Linked DNA regions of Elephas maximus indicus. The protein of the gene in region 1 purifies or fractionates together with the protein of each later gene. This does not show direct contact. Links are inferred from orthologs where the notes say so. Each region holds a gene or a part of one and is shown in the gene's direction. Other genes may lie near its edges.

The links. Proteins that work in one complex are often made in the same cells at the same time.
Region 2: the proteins of TOX4 (region 1) and PPP1CB purify together in Homo sapiens (affinity purification with mass spectrometry; 5 studies listed by BioGRID and IntAct, with this or other methods). This does not show direct contact. The link is inferred for Elephas maximus indicus from reciprocal best matches to the Homo sapiens genes TOX4 and PPP1CB.

The regions. Positions count from the first base shown.
Region 1 is NC_064828.1:31,830,931-31,838,948, forward strand, and holds the start of TOX4 (TOX high mobility group box family member 4), read left to right. Parts: upstream 1-5,009; 5' UTR 5,010-5,074; coding exon 5,075-5,080; intron 5,081-5,292; coding exon 5,293-5,361; intron 5,362-8,018. UniProt on the Homo sapiens protein: Transcription factor that modulates cell fate reprogramming from the somatic state to the pluripotent and neuronal fate. In liver, controls the expression of hormone-regulated gluconeogenic genes such as G6PC1 and PCK1.
Region 2 is NC_064830.1:47,747,648-47,754,694, forward strand, and holds the start of PPP1CB (serine/threonine-protein phosphatase PP1-beta catalytic subunit), read left to right. Parts: upstream 1-3,975; 5' UTR 3,976-4,057; intron 4,058-4,066; exon of another isoform or gene 4,067-4,125; intron 4,126-4,274; 5' UTR 4,275-4,362; coding exon 4,363-4,414; intron 4,415-7,047. UniProt on the Homo sapiens protein: Protein phosphatase that associates with over 200 regulatory proteins to form highly specific holoenzymes which dephosphorylate hundreds of biological targets.

The DNA.
Region 1 (8,018 bases):
GTTATTGTTGTTAGGTGCTGTTGAGTCGGTTCATAGGGTCCCTATGTACAACAGAACGAAATTTGATTAGGCAGTATTTAATTTTGTAATTTTTTTTTTCAATTTTTTATTGTGCAATGTCAAGTGTTGCGTGACATTGATTTAATTCTCCATAATGTGTCAGCACTCTCCCCATTTCCCTCCTAGGTTCTTGTTTCCTTTCTTCTTGAATTGCTGTTGCTTCATGCCTCCTTATCTTTGCTTTTGGGCAAACGTTGCCTTTTTAATCTAATATAATAGATTGTTCTAGGGAACACATTCCTCTCAAGTGTTATTGTTTATTCTTTGGGCCTGTCTATGGTTTGGCTGAAAGGTGGTCTCCATGATTGTCTTCAGTTCTGTTTCAGAAGGGTAACTTAGGGCCGTAGTCTCAGGGATTCTTCCAGTGTCTGACAGACCAGTAAGTCTAGTCTTATTTTGTGAGTTTGATTTTTTGTTCTACAATTTTTCTCCTGCTCTGTGTGGAACCCTCTGTTGTGATACCAGTAGAGTGGTAGGTAAATGGTAGCTGGGCACCATCTAGTTCTTCTGATCTCAGGGTCGTGTAGTCTGTGGTTAATGTGGTCTATTAGTCCTTTGGCTTAATTACTCCCTTGAGTCTTCGGTTTTAGTCACTCTCCTTTGCTCCAGATATTAAGAGACCAATAGCTGTATGTCAAATGGCCACTCACAAGCTTTTAAGACCCCAGATGCTATGCACCAAAGTAGGATGTAGAACTTTGTCTTTATTAACTATGTTGTGCCAGTTGGTGTAGATGTCCCCTAAGTCTATGATCCTTTGCCTTCGAACCCAGGAGCTTCATCCCATGAGGTGTTTGGTTATGTCTAAGAAGTTGCCCTGACTGTGGCCCTTGTGTGCTCTACTGTCTATATAAGCAGCATCTACAGTTATGTATGTAGAAATATCTACCACCAAACCTATCTCTGCAGGTGGATGTGTTCCCTTATGCCCTCCCACACCTCTTGTCATACCTATCTACCTATGTATCCATTTGTAAATTAGTGTTTGTTAATGCTATTTTAACAGGATTTTCTATGCTACAGTAATCACTGTTGTTGCCCTTTGTTCCTCTCAGTGTCCTCCCACGCCTTGGTCATGTTTTGCTGACTTCCCCCATATTGTGTATTGCCTTTCCCTTCACAAATATTAAGACATGTCTTCCATCTCTTTGGTAATTTTCCCTCCCTTTCCCACCCATTCCTGGTAACCACCAGAGAATTTTTTTTCCCGTGTGTAAACCTTTCTTGTTTCTTTATAATAGTGATCTCATACAACATTTGTCCTTTTGTGATTGACTTATTTCACTGAGCATAAAAACCAAAAAACAAACCTTTTGCCATTGGGTGGATTCCGACTGACAGCGACCCTATAGGACAGAGTAGGACCGCCCCACAGGGTTTCCAAGGCTGCCTGGTGGATTCGAACTGCCGACCCCTTGCCCAATAGCCGTAGCTCTTAACCACTACACCAGCAGGGTTGCCTCACTCAGCATAATGTCCTCCAAATTCATTTATGTTGTGAGATGTTTCACAGATTTGTCATTATTCTTTATTGTTGCATAGTATTCTACTGCATGGATGTACCACAGTTTGTTAATTCATTCATCTGTTGATGGGCACTTAGGTTGTTTCCATCGTTTTGCTACTATGAATAATATTGTAATGAATATAAGCGTGCATATGTCTATTTGTGTCACGACTGTTATTTCTTTAGGGTGTATACCTAAGAGTGGGATTGCCGGTCAGTTTTTCTGTGGTGTGATGTATGGGTCCTGTTTAATTTTTTTTTTTACAAATGGACATACAGTTTTGCCAGCACCATTTGTTAAAGAGGCTATCTTTTCTCCGTTTAATGAACTTTGGCCTTTTGTTAAAGATCAGCTGTCCATAGGTGGATGGATTTAAATCTGGGTTGTCAATTCTGTTCCATTGGTTAATTTTGTTAAGTTTTTCATAAAATATCTAAAAATTTTGATGTCTTCTTGGAGTCACTCTGTAGTCCCCCTACATGAAACAATATATATTTTTGCACATCTGGAACTTTTTATTTATTTCTAGCTTTTTAAGGAAGTGCCATATCATTTTGCATGGTGGTTGTACCATTTTACATTCCCACCAGCAGTGTATAAGACTTCCAATCTTCCTACAACCTCTCCAACATTTGTTATTTTGTTTTTTTGATTAGTGCTGGTAATGTTGAGGTGGGATGGTATCTCGCTGTAGTTTTGATTTGCATCTCTCTAATGGCTAATGATGGAGAGCATTTCTTCATGTGTTTGTTAGCCATCTGAATGTGTTCTTCGGTGAAGTATCTGTTCATATCCTTTGCCCATTTTTTAAATTGGTTTGTCCTTTTGATGTTAAGGTGTTGAAGTTTTTTAAAATAAATTTTAGAGATTAGACTCTTGTCGGATATGTCATAGCCAAAATTTTTTCCCTGATCTGTAGGTTCTCTTTTTACTCTTTTGGAGAAGTCTTTTGATAAGCATAAGTGTTTCATTTTTAGGAGGTCCCATTTATCTAGCACATCTTCTGTTGCTTGTGCATTTTTAGTTATGTTTGGTATTCTATTAATGCCATACATTAGGGCCCCTAGTGTTGTCCCTATTTTTTCTTCCGTGATCTTTATAGTTTTAGGTTTTATATTTAGATCTTTGATCCATTTTTTTAAATTAACTTTTATTGAGCTTCAAGTGAACATTTACAAATCAAGTCAGTCTGTCACATATAAGTTAATATACATCTTACTCCTTACTCCCACTTGCTCTCCCCCTAATGAGTCAGCCCTTCCAGTCTCTCCTTTCGTGAAAACTTTGGCAGCCTCCAACTCTCTCTATCCTCCGATCCCCCCTCCAGACAGGAGATGCCAACACAGTCCCAACTGTCCACCTGATATAATTAGCTCACTCTTCATCAGCATCTCTCTCCCACCCACTGTCCAGTCCCTTTCATGTCTGATGAATTGTCTTCGGGGATGGTTCCCGTTCTGTGCCAACAGAAGGTTTGGGGACCATGACCGCCGGGATTCCTCTAGTCACATCCAGACCATTAAGTATGGTCTTTTTATGAGAATTTGGGGTCTGCATCCCACTGATCTCCTGCTCCCTCAGGGGTTCTCTATTGTGCTCCCTGTCAGGGCAGTCATCGATTGTGGCCGGGCACCAACTGGTTCTTCCGGTCTCAGGATAATGTAGGTCTCTGGTTCATGTGGCCCTTTCTGTCTCTTGGGCTCTTAGTTGTCGTGTGACCTTGGTGTTCTTCATTCTCCTTTACTCCAGGTGGGTTGAGACCAATTGATGCATCTTAGATGGCCGCTTGTTAGCTTTTAAGACCCCAGAAGCCACATTTCAAAGTGGGATGCAGAATGTTTTCATAATAGAATTATTTTGCCAATTGACTCTTTGATCCATTTTGAGTGAGTTTTTGTGTGGTGTGAGGTATGGGTCCTGCTTCATGTTTTTTTTTTTTTTTTTTACAAATGGACATCCAGTTTTGCCAATACCATTTGTTAAAGAGACTATCTTTTCTCCATTTCCTGAACTTTGGCCTTTTGTTAAAGATCAGCTGTCCATGGATGGATGGATTTACATCTGGGTTCTCAATTCTGTTCCATTGGTTAATTTTGTAACTTTTTCAAAAAAATACCTAAAAATTTTGAAAATATTTCTTGATGTGTTTTTAGAGTTACTCTCTAGTCCTCCTACATGAAACTATATATTTTGCACCTCTAGAACTTTTTGTTTGAGAAAGAAGCCTATCTGAGAATTAGGTTGTCAAGAGTGATATACTTCGGATGTTTAATAACTCCCATAGTTCATTGGAAAGTAGTCTCTTGAATAAAAAATAGGAGTATGGAAATTGGCAGTCTGAATAAGTCTTTTGGTTTACCTGGCATTCACCTTGTCTCAAGAATTAAAAACTGAAGGTCAGTTACATGAAAAATTCTTGGCCACAGTCAGACAACTTGGCCTACTTTCTATCTTCATACAGTACTTTGCACATAGCATGAGGAATTCTGATTTGCAAGAAAGTGCACTAATACGGCTTATGCTAAAGGGTTGATATACACTTGTTCAGTGTCTCACATAGGTACGCAGAGATATCCAAAATATCTCAACTCTAAGGTGCTGCAGTTAAGGAAGATACAAGAATCACTTCGTACTATTCTAGATTGCTTCATGAAGTATCGAGTGGTAGCTACTGAAAAAAAGTTGCTAAATCTTTTTTCCCCCTAGAGTAGGAATAGAATTTCAACAGGTTAGAATTGAAAATAAAGCTTTTGTCTCCCTTTATGCAGTTTCCTCTAGTTATGCACTCAAAGACTCTACAATTTGTATAGATTTTCTATCCAACTGTCATATTTTCTATCCAGCTGTCGTATTCTCTTGGTACAGAGAACAGAATTCTGAAAGAAACATGTCCTCTGTCGGACTCTGGGGAAAACTTGATTGATCACTACACTTCTCGGTTTTAAAACTTGTCATTTGCTCAACATTTCCTTCAGGTGAGCCTTGCTGGCAGAGTGGTTAAGTGCTAAGCATAAAGGTCGGCAGTTCGAATCCACGATCCCGCTCCTTGAAACGCTATGGGCAGTCCTACTCTGTCCTATAGGGTCGCTGAGTCGGAATGGACTCGACAGCAACGGGCCTTCCGGTGTTTTAAAACTTGGTACCTAATTTTTTCTCTAGCTTTACTTCTTGCCACGCTTCGAACTCCATGCTCCAGCCATATTAAATCACTTTCAGTTTTCCAAAAGTGGCCTGATTCCTGTTCTCTTCAGAAAACCTCTCTCGATCCGGAGCGGCGGAAACACTCCAACGCCGCCTCCAAAGACGCCTCTAGCACCTCCACATGCCATTACTCCACCTAGCTCCAGGGGGCGAGCGTTAGCCTCTCCGTACGCTCGGCCTTGCTAGGCCTGACTGGCTGCCGCAAAGAGTGACGCACATCCTTACGGAAGTGACGTAAGTTCCGAGTCCAGTAGGGGCGGTGGGAGCAATGAGGGGAGTAAGGCGGTGGTAGCTGTTGTGTGAAGATGGAGGTAGGAACCCGAGCGCTAAGAAGGCTGGCGAGAGAACGCGGCCGACGGGGTTGAAGCAGAGGCGAGAGGCCGGGCGGAGAGGCGGCTGACGGGGGAGGAGAGAGACAGCCGGGTTTGGGGAGTGTTGTCAGAAGGTCGGGGTCAGAATACGTCGCTCCAAGCTCCTCCCTGCTCCCGCTAACTTATCCCCGCGGCTTTCTTTTGGTTTCCAGTTTCCCGGAGGAAATGACAATTACCTGACGATCACAGGGCCCTCGCACCCCTTCCTGTCAGGGGCCGAGGTGAGCAAGAGCTGCCGACGCTGCGGGGGGAGGGCCTGAGGCAGCGGGCGGGGGTGGGGGTAGGTTGGTGGGGCGGGGAGCGCGGAAGCCGGGGGCCGGGGGCTGGGAACCGGGGCCGCGATTGGTGTTTAGAGAAAAGTGGCAGCTGCTTCTGGAGCCTGTGAGGACTGTGTGGGGTGGGTCCGGGCAACTGCTGTCATTAGAAAAGCAGAACGTTGGAAAGAGATTATCTGTTTAAGGAGAAGATTGATTCTGGATTGGAAGACTGCGAGGAACTGTCTCATTTTGTTGGGCTTGAAAATTTTTAGCTAAAGAAATTGGGATGAGGGGAGGAGCTTACCTAGCAGGGGTTAAGTGTGGATATGTGCTCATTCTTGAAAGGAACACTGTTTAAGGGATCTTTTTCCATTTACATTTCCTACTCAGGAAATGTAAAAAGTTAAAAAATTAGTAGGTATGTTTACATACATGGTGCCAGCATGTTTTGCTAATGACAAGAGGAAAAGAAATAGTTGCCAGAGAACATGAAGAGAGTTGAGTAGAACATGTCTTCTTGCTTGCCAGTGACTCAGAGTTTCGGCAGGTTGCTTCCTCTTTGTATGTCACAGTTTCCCTAGCTATCACGTGGCTATAATAATAGTTTATGATGTTGTGAAGTAGAAGTAATTGTTATGGTAAGGTCCTTTAGTATTTGTGGAATATTGTCAGAATACAGATTTGTATCACTTGTTTAGACAAGGCAAAACAGAAAGGTGGAACATACAAAATACATTTTTCAGTCTTTGAGAAAGTGTGAAGTCTTCATCTTTCTACTGTCTTTTGAGTATTATTTTTTCCATGAGTAGAGTGAACAATTTGCATCTGTTTTTGTACCAAGGATTCTCAATTGCTGTTGAACGGGCTTATCCTACAATAAATCCTAAAATTCTCATGGATGAGAATAAGGTTGACAAGGAGCAGTTGCTAGTCTTTTTTTTTTTTTTTAACTTCTTTATTGGTATTATCATTTATTACTCCACCATTGAATTTCAGTTTTTGGAATGTTATAAATTTCACATTAGCCTCATCCACGTGAAAGTACATTTCAAAACTAAATATAAGTAGCTTTCAAATTTACCCATGATTCTTAATCCTTTGCCCCTTTTATGAACTTGTAACTACATAAGAAGTGGCGCCTTTTTATAACTTCAAGAAACTCTTCAGGTTTAAGGCTGATCTTTTTTGATGACTTTAAGAAAAAAATAGAACATTTTTGTCAAGAAACTCATAACTAAATTTTAGACTCAAGTTCAGTAGCTTCCTGTAGCCTAGGACTTCTGTCATTGCTAACTTTTAATGGGTTTGTGGCTTTTGTTGTATCTGATCTTACTGTGAGCCACCCCAAATATAGTTTAGAGATAAGCAAAGGTAATTTTTAAAAAAATTTTTTTTAGAGTTTTCTTATAAGAAAAGGATAGACATCTACAAAGGGCATTAACCATAAAAGAAAACACAGAGAAATTGGACTTCATTGAAATAAGGAACTTTTTTTGTTAAAAGACATCATTAAGAAAGTAAATAGGAACTCCATAGATTGGGAGAAGATGTTTACAATACATATATATCTGATTAATATTCAGAGTACATCAAGTAATTCTGCAGAGTAAAAGAACTGAATTTAGAAATAGGCAAAAAATTTGAGCAGGTACTTCACAAAAGATGATATCCATGTTGCTATTAGGCATATAAAAAAGTGTCATCATCACTTATCAGGGAAATGCAAATTAAAATCATAATTAGAAACTATTGCCTACCTGCTAAAAAAAAAAAAAAAACCTGCTAGAAGGTTAAAATTAAAAAGACTGACAATTCCCAAGAGTTTGCAAGGATGTAGATAACCTCATTCATTGCTGCTGAGAGTATAAATTGATTCAACCACTTAGGAAAACTGGCAGCATATACTAAAGATAAGCTTATGCCTACACTGTGACCCATCAGTTCCACTCGTTGATACATACTCAAGAGAAATGAGTGCATATGTTCACTAAACATATGTAAGAATGTTCACAGCAACTTTACTCATAATAGCTAAACATTGGAACCAACCCAGGTATCAACTGAAGAACGGATAAGTAAACTGTGGCACATTTGTGAAAGGAATACTACATAACAATAAAGAAAGAATGAACTACTAATAAATACTACAATAACTTGGATGATCTCAAAAATATATTTTTGACTGAAAGAAGGCAGATACAAGAGTATACACTGTATGAGTTCATTTTTTTTGTGAAGGTAAGGATAGGCAAAAATTAAACTTTTCATTAGGTGCTGTTGAGTCAGTTCTGATACATCGACCCTGTGTACAACAGAATGAAACACTACCTGGTCCTGCACTGCCCTCACAGTGGTTGCTATGTTTGAACCAATTGTTGCCGCCACTGTGTCACTCCCGTTCGTTGAGGGTCTTCCTCTTTTTTGCTGATCCTCTACAAAGCATGATGTCTTTCTCCAGGGACTAGTCCCTCCTGCTAACATGTCCAAAGTACGTGAAACGAAGCCTCACCATCCTCGCGTCTAATGAGCATTCTGGCTGTACTTCTTCCAGGATAAACTTGTTTGTTCTGGCGGTCCATGGTATATTTAATATTTTTTGCCAGCACCATAATTCAAAAGCA
Region 2 (7,047 bases), on another chromosome or scaffold:
TAGCTTAGCTAAGAATTTGGTACTTTGATTACTCTCATCTCTGCACTGAAATGAACCCAGAACTAAATCTTAAGGAAAAATCTTAGCCCTGCCAGGATAAACTCCCTCAGCCCACCTCTGTACTGAGCTCGTGGCCTCCTACTGATGCATGTGTCCCTGTCTGGGTTCTCAACTTTCTTTAGTTGAGCTGACTACAAAAGCCTATGATATTTGCTATATAGAATGGTTGCCCTCCAGGTACACTTAGTAAATTTTAGAAATAGTCACTTAAGACTTATTAAAGACTTGATTGAGGGGAATATTTACTGGAAGACAGTCCAGTGAATTCCCATTCATTCATTTAAAAGCTATCTTGGATTAAGCAGGGCAGCTAAAAAGCTGTATATCACAACCTCTGCATTTTGCCACCTAACCCTACTTACCTCCACATCATGTTGGCCAATACTGAGAGACATTATAAGAAAAATACCTCTATGAAAGTCTTTACTATCTTTACTACAAGAAGTTACGAGGCTGCTCTTCACTGTGTTCCGTGGTGCTTTCTTTTTGAACTTCCATAGGGACATCTCTCTGGTCTCAGTACAGTGATCGTTGGGTTCCTCTAAGTACTGACTTTATATAATGGGCGCCAGCATGTCCCAGGCATTACCTGTAAGTACAAATAAGATCACATTTTTAATAAGACCCCCAAATCATGATACTCCAGACCTCTATCAGGAAGTTCAAGTGAAGATCAAGGGGTTCCTTCCCCAAACATTTCTGTAACTACACAAGGATACTGACATGTGTGACCCAAATGTCTTCCTATACCCAGGCATGTGCTGATAAATGTTTAACATTTGTCTCTCTAGAGGGAAAAGCTATGATTTGTAGCATTTATTGATTTCATTGGTGTAAATATTTCCACTGTGGCAAATTTCAAGTAATCAATATGATGTTACTGAACACAGAATCTGGAAGATATATATGTATTACATACATTCAGAAATAATACTGGAAAATGGTTATTTGTGGGTGGTGAGAGAAGAGGTGTTTTTGTTTTTGTTTTTTCACTTTCCAAATTTCCTTCAGCAATCATATTTCACTCTGGATAAAAGAAAGGAAAAAAAAAAAGATACTATAGTGGCAAGTATGACCCGAACAGCTGTGAAGTTATTTGTAGTGTTTATTTATCTTACTTGATGTTAATATTCACGTGATTTGCTTTAAGCTGCTGGGATATGAAGTAACATATAGAACATGTACCAGTTTACCTTAAAAATCTGAAGAGCTCTAAGTTCTTTTATAGTTCTTTGAGAGAGAGATCCCACAGAAAAGTTGGTTGAGACCCTAGTGATATAGTTTTCATTTTTATAATTGCTTTTTCTTTCCCAGGATTCCAAAGCAGTGGAAAACCTGGGGGTGAGAGGCAGAGAAGTGGACATCTGCAGACAATACTGAGAACCACTTTCCAATTCCTTCTGACCCCCAGAACTCTATGCTGAGACTGGCCTCTCTTCTGCTCTACCCATGGTGACTTTCTCTCAGAATTTCACTTTCTCTCTGTTCAATTCAGTTTACTTTGGGTATCCCTTGTCTTTTACATACGTCTGCATATATTTGAACCACAACCATAGATAAGGTTCAAAGTTTTTGTTCATGGAATTTAGGGACCCCATGAAAACTGCAGAATAAGTGTTCCCGAGCATTCTGTAACTCTTAAAGAGGCTCACGGAACAGATTCAGGGAAGTGGCACCCAACTCCACAAGTGATTTCAAGTCATAGTTCCAACATAGCCAAAACACCTACTCCACTTGTAACTGATCTTTTCTTTGGTTGCTGGAGAGCTTAGAGTCATATTTGTGGCCTCTTTGTAGCAAACCTTACACCATGCATTTTGCATACAAAACTGCCACTCCTGGTTTTATTTTGTCCTATTTTTCTCCGTACTCAAACCAAACCCATTGCCATCCAGTCAACTGACTCATAGCGATCTTGTAGGACAAAGTAGAAAGGCCCGTAAAGATTTACAGCCCTAGGATTTTCAGGGCATAAATCTTTACGGGAGCACACTGCCACATCTTTCTCCTGCAGAGCAGCTGGTGGGTTTGAACTGCTGACCTTTCAGTTAGTAGCTGGGCTCTTAACCACTGTGCCACCAGGGCTCTTTATTTTAATCTGTACTTATTTTTTAATCTATCCTGCTGCACAAATATATAAGCTACATTAAATCCTTTCTTCTAGAACAAACCAAACCAAAAACCAAACCCACTGCTGTCGAGTCGATTCTGAGTAATAGTGACCCTATAAGACAGCGTAAAACTGCCCCACAGGGTTTCCAAGGAGCACCTAGTGGACTCAAACCGCCAACCTTTTGGGTAGCAGATGTAGCTCTTAACCACTACGCCACCAGGGTTTCAACATAGAGTGACGAGGAGCCATTTCTTCATTTCCATCTGGTGGCATTGAGTTTGTGAAGGCTGCTCCAGACAGGACCTCCACTACAGCTTGCTACCTGTTCTCCTATGATCACAATGTACAAGCTATATTCTAAAACGAAGGAAGAGAAAGCTAGGGGGGACAAAAAGGTATTAGGAAATGCAAGCTCTGTAAGTCACCTGGACCATTACAAAATACATGGTTGGATGGTGCTTTTCTCTAAAACTTTTGATTTCTACTATCTAAGATTATGACATAGCACAAACACGCTTAAGCAGCTCAGCTCATGTACAGCTCACACACACACATTACAACAATTAAGCGTGCAGGCTCTGGCTCTAGATGCCTGGGCTTGAATCCCAGTGTTGCCATTAATTCACTTACTTGTATGATTTAGTGCTAGGTATCTAACCATTTCTGTGCCTCAACTAATCCTACCTACAAAATGAAGAGAGTAGTAGTACCTATCTCACACAGATGTAAATATTAAATGAGATAAGGAATGTATAACACTTAAAATAGTGTCAAGTACATACAGGTATCTCAATACGTGTTAGCTATTATTAGTGATACGTGGGTGGGAGAAGCACTGCCTTTAGCTTAGGGCAGAATCTGTCTGAATTTTGGAAAAACACCTGAGGAATGAGTAAAGATGATCCGGCCATCTCCTAGAACAGGCCAAAAACTCTAAGTTAACTAGATCCTTTGCGTAGCTGCTCTTCCTCCTGCTTTTGTAAAGGCAGTTTTATGTGATGGAAAGAACAGCTGAACTTCCGTATTTCTCCTTCTCCCTCTCTTCTATGGGCCAGACACAAACATAGATGTTTTTACTCTCTAGGAGCTTAGCGTCGAGTGTAGGAAATAAATGCGTAAACAACTATAACGTAGGATGATTAAGCAAATGAATGGAGGTATGAACAAAAAAGCATTGTGGAAAAATAGTATCCACAGGGTGATGTAAGACACGTGAAAGCGATACTCATATATTCCTATTGCTAATCCTTCCAGGGCCCACTTTAACATTTACTTCATCCTAGAACATCTGAGGACCTAACCTGGTGGAACAGTTATGTACAAGACCCCTTATGCGCAACGTTAAACTTTCTAGCAGAGTAACACCCCCTTGCTTCTGACACGCGCAAACCCGGGCTTCAAACATGGGTTACTGCAGTCTAGGCTTCCCGGTTAGCGGAAACATAAGGAATTGCTTGCAAAACCAGGTAATGAAGCCAAGCAAACAAAATTGATGTGGGAAGGACCCACCACGGCGTCTGCGGAGCGGCGAAGAGCCCGAGTGCCGGCCAGGGCTGGGCGAAGGCCAACCCTGCCTACGTACGCCCTGCGTAATGGGAGCTTCCTCGGCGCCGCAAATCCCCCAAACCCTCCGTGGCGCCTGCGCCGCTGCGGCGATTCGGCGCAGTAAAAGCGGAGGGAAAGGGCGACGCACCTGCGCTAAGGCAACCGCGGCGACGGCGGGGACGGCAGCGGCGAGCTGAGGGCAGTGCGATTGCGCCAAGGCCGGGGAGGCGAGGGGAGCCGCGAAGGGGTGCGCGGCGCGCCTGCGCGGACGGCTGCGTGGCGCGGCGGCGGGGAAGGGCCGTGTGGAGTGGCGCTGCGGGTGGGGCCTTGGCGGCGCTGGTGAGCTTTGCTGAGTTGGGCGGTGCCGAGGAGGAGGAGGAGGTGGCGGCTGGGTCTTACGAGGCCCGGTTCGTGGAGCCCCGTTTGTTTATTTATTTATTTATTTGTGTGCCTCCGAGTGTGCGCGCGCTCTCGCTGCTCGGTGGGGAGGGGGTGGGGGGAGGGCCCGGGTAAAGGGGGAGTGGGGACCGGGGTCGAAACGCCGCGTGACTTGTAGGTGAGAGAACGCCGCGCCGTCGCCGCAGCCTCTGCCGCCGAGAAGCCCTTGTTCCCGCTGCCGGGAAGGAGAGTCTGGTGCCGACAAGATGGCGGACGGGGAGCTGAATGTGGACAGTCTCATCACCCGATTGCTGGAGGGTGAGTGCGGAGCCCGGGCCGGCCGGGGCTGGTGGGAGGGGGCAGCGCCTTCATCCCCTCGCTCCCCCTTTTACCGCCGAAACCCGAGGGGGACCCTCCTTTCCGCCCCGTGAGCAGGGTCTCCGGAGGGAAGCGGAGCGAACCAGCCGAGGCATCCGCGGAGGAGGGGGCGAGGAGGCTTGTTGGCGGGGGGAGCGGTCTCCGAGAACTGGGGCTGGGGGAGGCTGTGCCCCGTGGGCCACCGCGTCGGGCTCCTGGGAATAATTTTCTTCGGGGCCCAGGAGCGCTAGTCTGGGGTGTGAGCAGTCTGTCTGCGGGGAGACAGCGTTTAAGAAGAGAAGGGCTGCTGGGTTCTTGCTGTTGTGCTCGCCTCCGGTGACCCTTTCCAAGGAGGGGGCGAGGATGCGTGCTGGTGTGCATTGGACGTCCGTGAAATGTGTGTTTTCTATTCTGCATTGGCCTTTGCTGCCTCAAATTGTTCCGGAAGTGAATTTTAAAAAATCTTCTTAATATGATTGTTAACCTGCCGTTCAGCGTGTTTACATGATGTTATAGAACGAACTCTTTTAAGGAGAGGATAAAATTAGCGGGGAATACCTAGCATTTTTTATTTAGTTTTTTAAAAATATGTAAAAACAAAATCCTTGATCGGGTTGAAGACTCACGCAAGAAATCCGAAAAGTGGATACGTTTTGTGAAGGGATTGGGCTTTGGGTTTGAGAATTTAACAGCTTTAAACGGAATTTAATTTCTGAACAAAGTTAGTAAAGGTCTTTCGTAAAGCTTCTCTTGTATTTGAAAGGTATTTACAGGTTTTATCCACATTTTAAGTTTCTGGCCCTGCTAGTTTTTATTGAATAGTTTTATGTTGGTGGGAGGAGGGTTGGGGAAAAGGGAAGAACTGATTTATTGCAGGAAAATTTTCAAAATTAATCGCAGTCTTCTGCCAATGACTGGTTTTCCCTAAAATTTACGCCATCGCTAGTTGTTTTATAAGTGTGTAGAAAAGAAATTAGGTCTTTTTAAAAATTTAGAGTTCTCTTTGTCAGGTGCAGTCAAAGGATTGTATATACATTAACTGCCATTTGCTTTCCAGTTATTTGGATATAATTGTTTACTACAGTGAAGCAGTATGTATTTAAATTTGGAAAATGACCAAAGAAGGTTGTGTGATTTGGGGAGGATACTAGTTCCTTTTTTTCATCTAGTTTGTCGATATCTAAAACCACATCAGTTCTGGTGTACCTGTTGTGTAATCAAATACAGTATATTTGCTCCAGATGTAAAAACCTTCCAACAGTCTTAAGACTGACTAGGAAGCAAAGTTTTACCAGGAACTCTTACTTACCTTTTCCTTTACTATCAAATTATTCCTGGGAGGCCCCCTGGTGCCGGTAGTCAGTGTTCACTACTTCATACACGAACGTGAACATCTTGCTGGGTCTTTAACTGTGAGATATTTGTTGTGAAAACGATTGTATAGATTTTGTAATTGTGCATTGTCGTAAGAGGGAAAAACAGTTTTTTAGAATTTTAGTATCTTGTCAACCTTTAGGGACGTTTAGGCCTGCCACTATTTTTGTACCTGTTAAACCTTGCGAGTAAACTTAAATATTTTTAAAATCTGATGTTTGTATCTCAACTTCTTTATATGTTTATTTACTTATATATTTATATACTCCATGGGCGTAAAATACAGTATATTTGCTCATTTAAAAATGCTTCAACTGGAACCTTTTAAGTCAGATCCACTTTTTATGATTATACTTAGGAAACTTCACTAGTGGATTTTCCAAGGTTATTGGGAAGAAAAGATGGTGGAAAAAATAGCCTAAGTGATTCCGTTTGTTTTTGTGTATGCAAATTTAAATGTTTCGTTTTCTTTTGGTGTTATTCTAGTCCAGTTACATTTTCCCTTTTTAACTTAAGCATTTATTGACTTCCTCTGTACCAGGCACCAGGAATCTAAAAACAGTCTTTCTCTTTACTCAAAGTGCCCTCAGTCTAAACAAGTGATTCTCCAGCTTTTTCCAGCCTCCTTTGTCAAGAGTTTCATTAGTTCCTAATTTCTAAGGAAGCGTATTTAGTTTGACAGTGCCTTATCCCTGAGATTCTCAAATTCTCCGCCCCCCATCTAGACCCATTCAAAGATATGTCCAAAGCATACTTAATTTTTCTAGTAAGTAATTGTTTATAGTCTTCAAATAAGATTTGTTTTTTGAATACCTTGATTTTCAGTGGTGGTACATGCTAACTAAATTTAACTCAAATTCAAATAATGGTCTTTTGTAAGCCAGTAGACTACGGTTAGGAGTTTGTTTTCAAAGTTTCAAATAAAAGTGCAAGTTAAAAGTTGGCCAGAGTTTCTCTACATTAGGGAAACAAATTTAGAGGGACATGATCTCATTTTAAAATGCTAATTATAGCTCTGCAACATATTCTTGATTGTTTTGTGCTGTATGAAATTGTCTATCAACTATAAAATATTTTATGAGTTGCATTGTGTTTTTCTTTTTCAGATAGGCATACTTTATACCTATCATTGCATTTGGAACATTTTAGTAAATGGAAAACAATGTACACTTCAGTATGTTTTCTTGGGTTAAGTTTTACATAAAACTAAAATCTGAAGA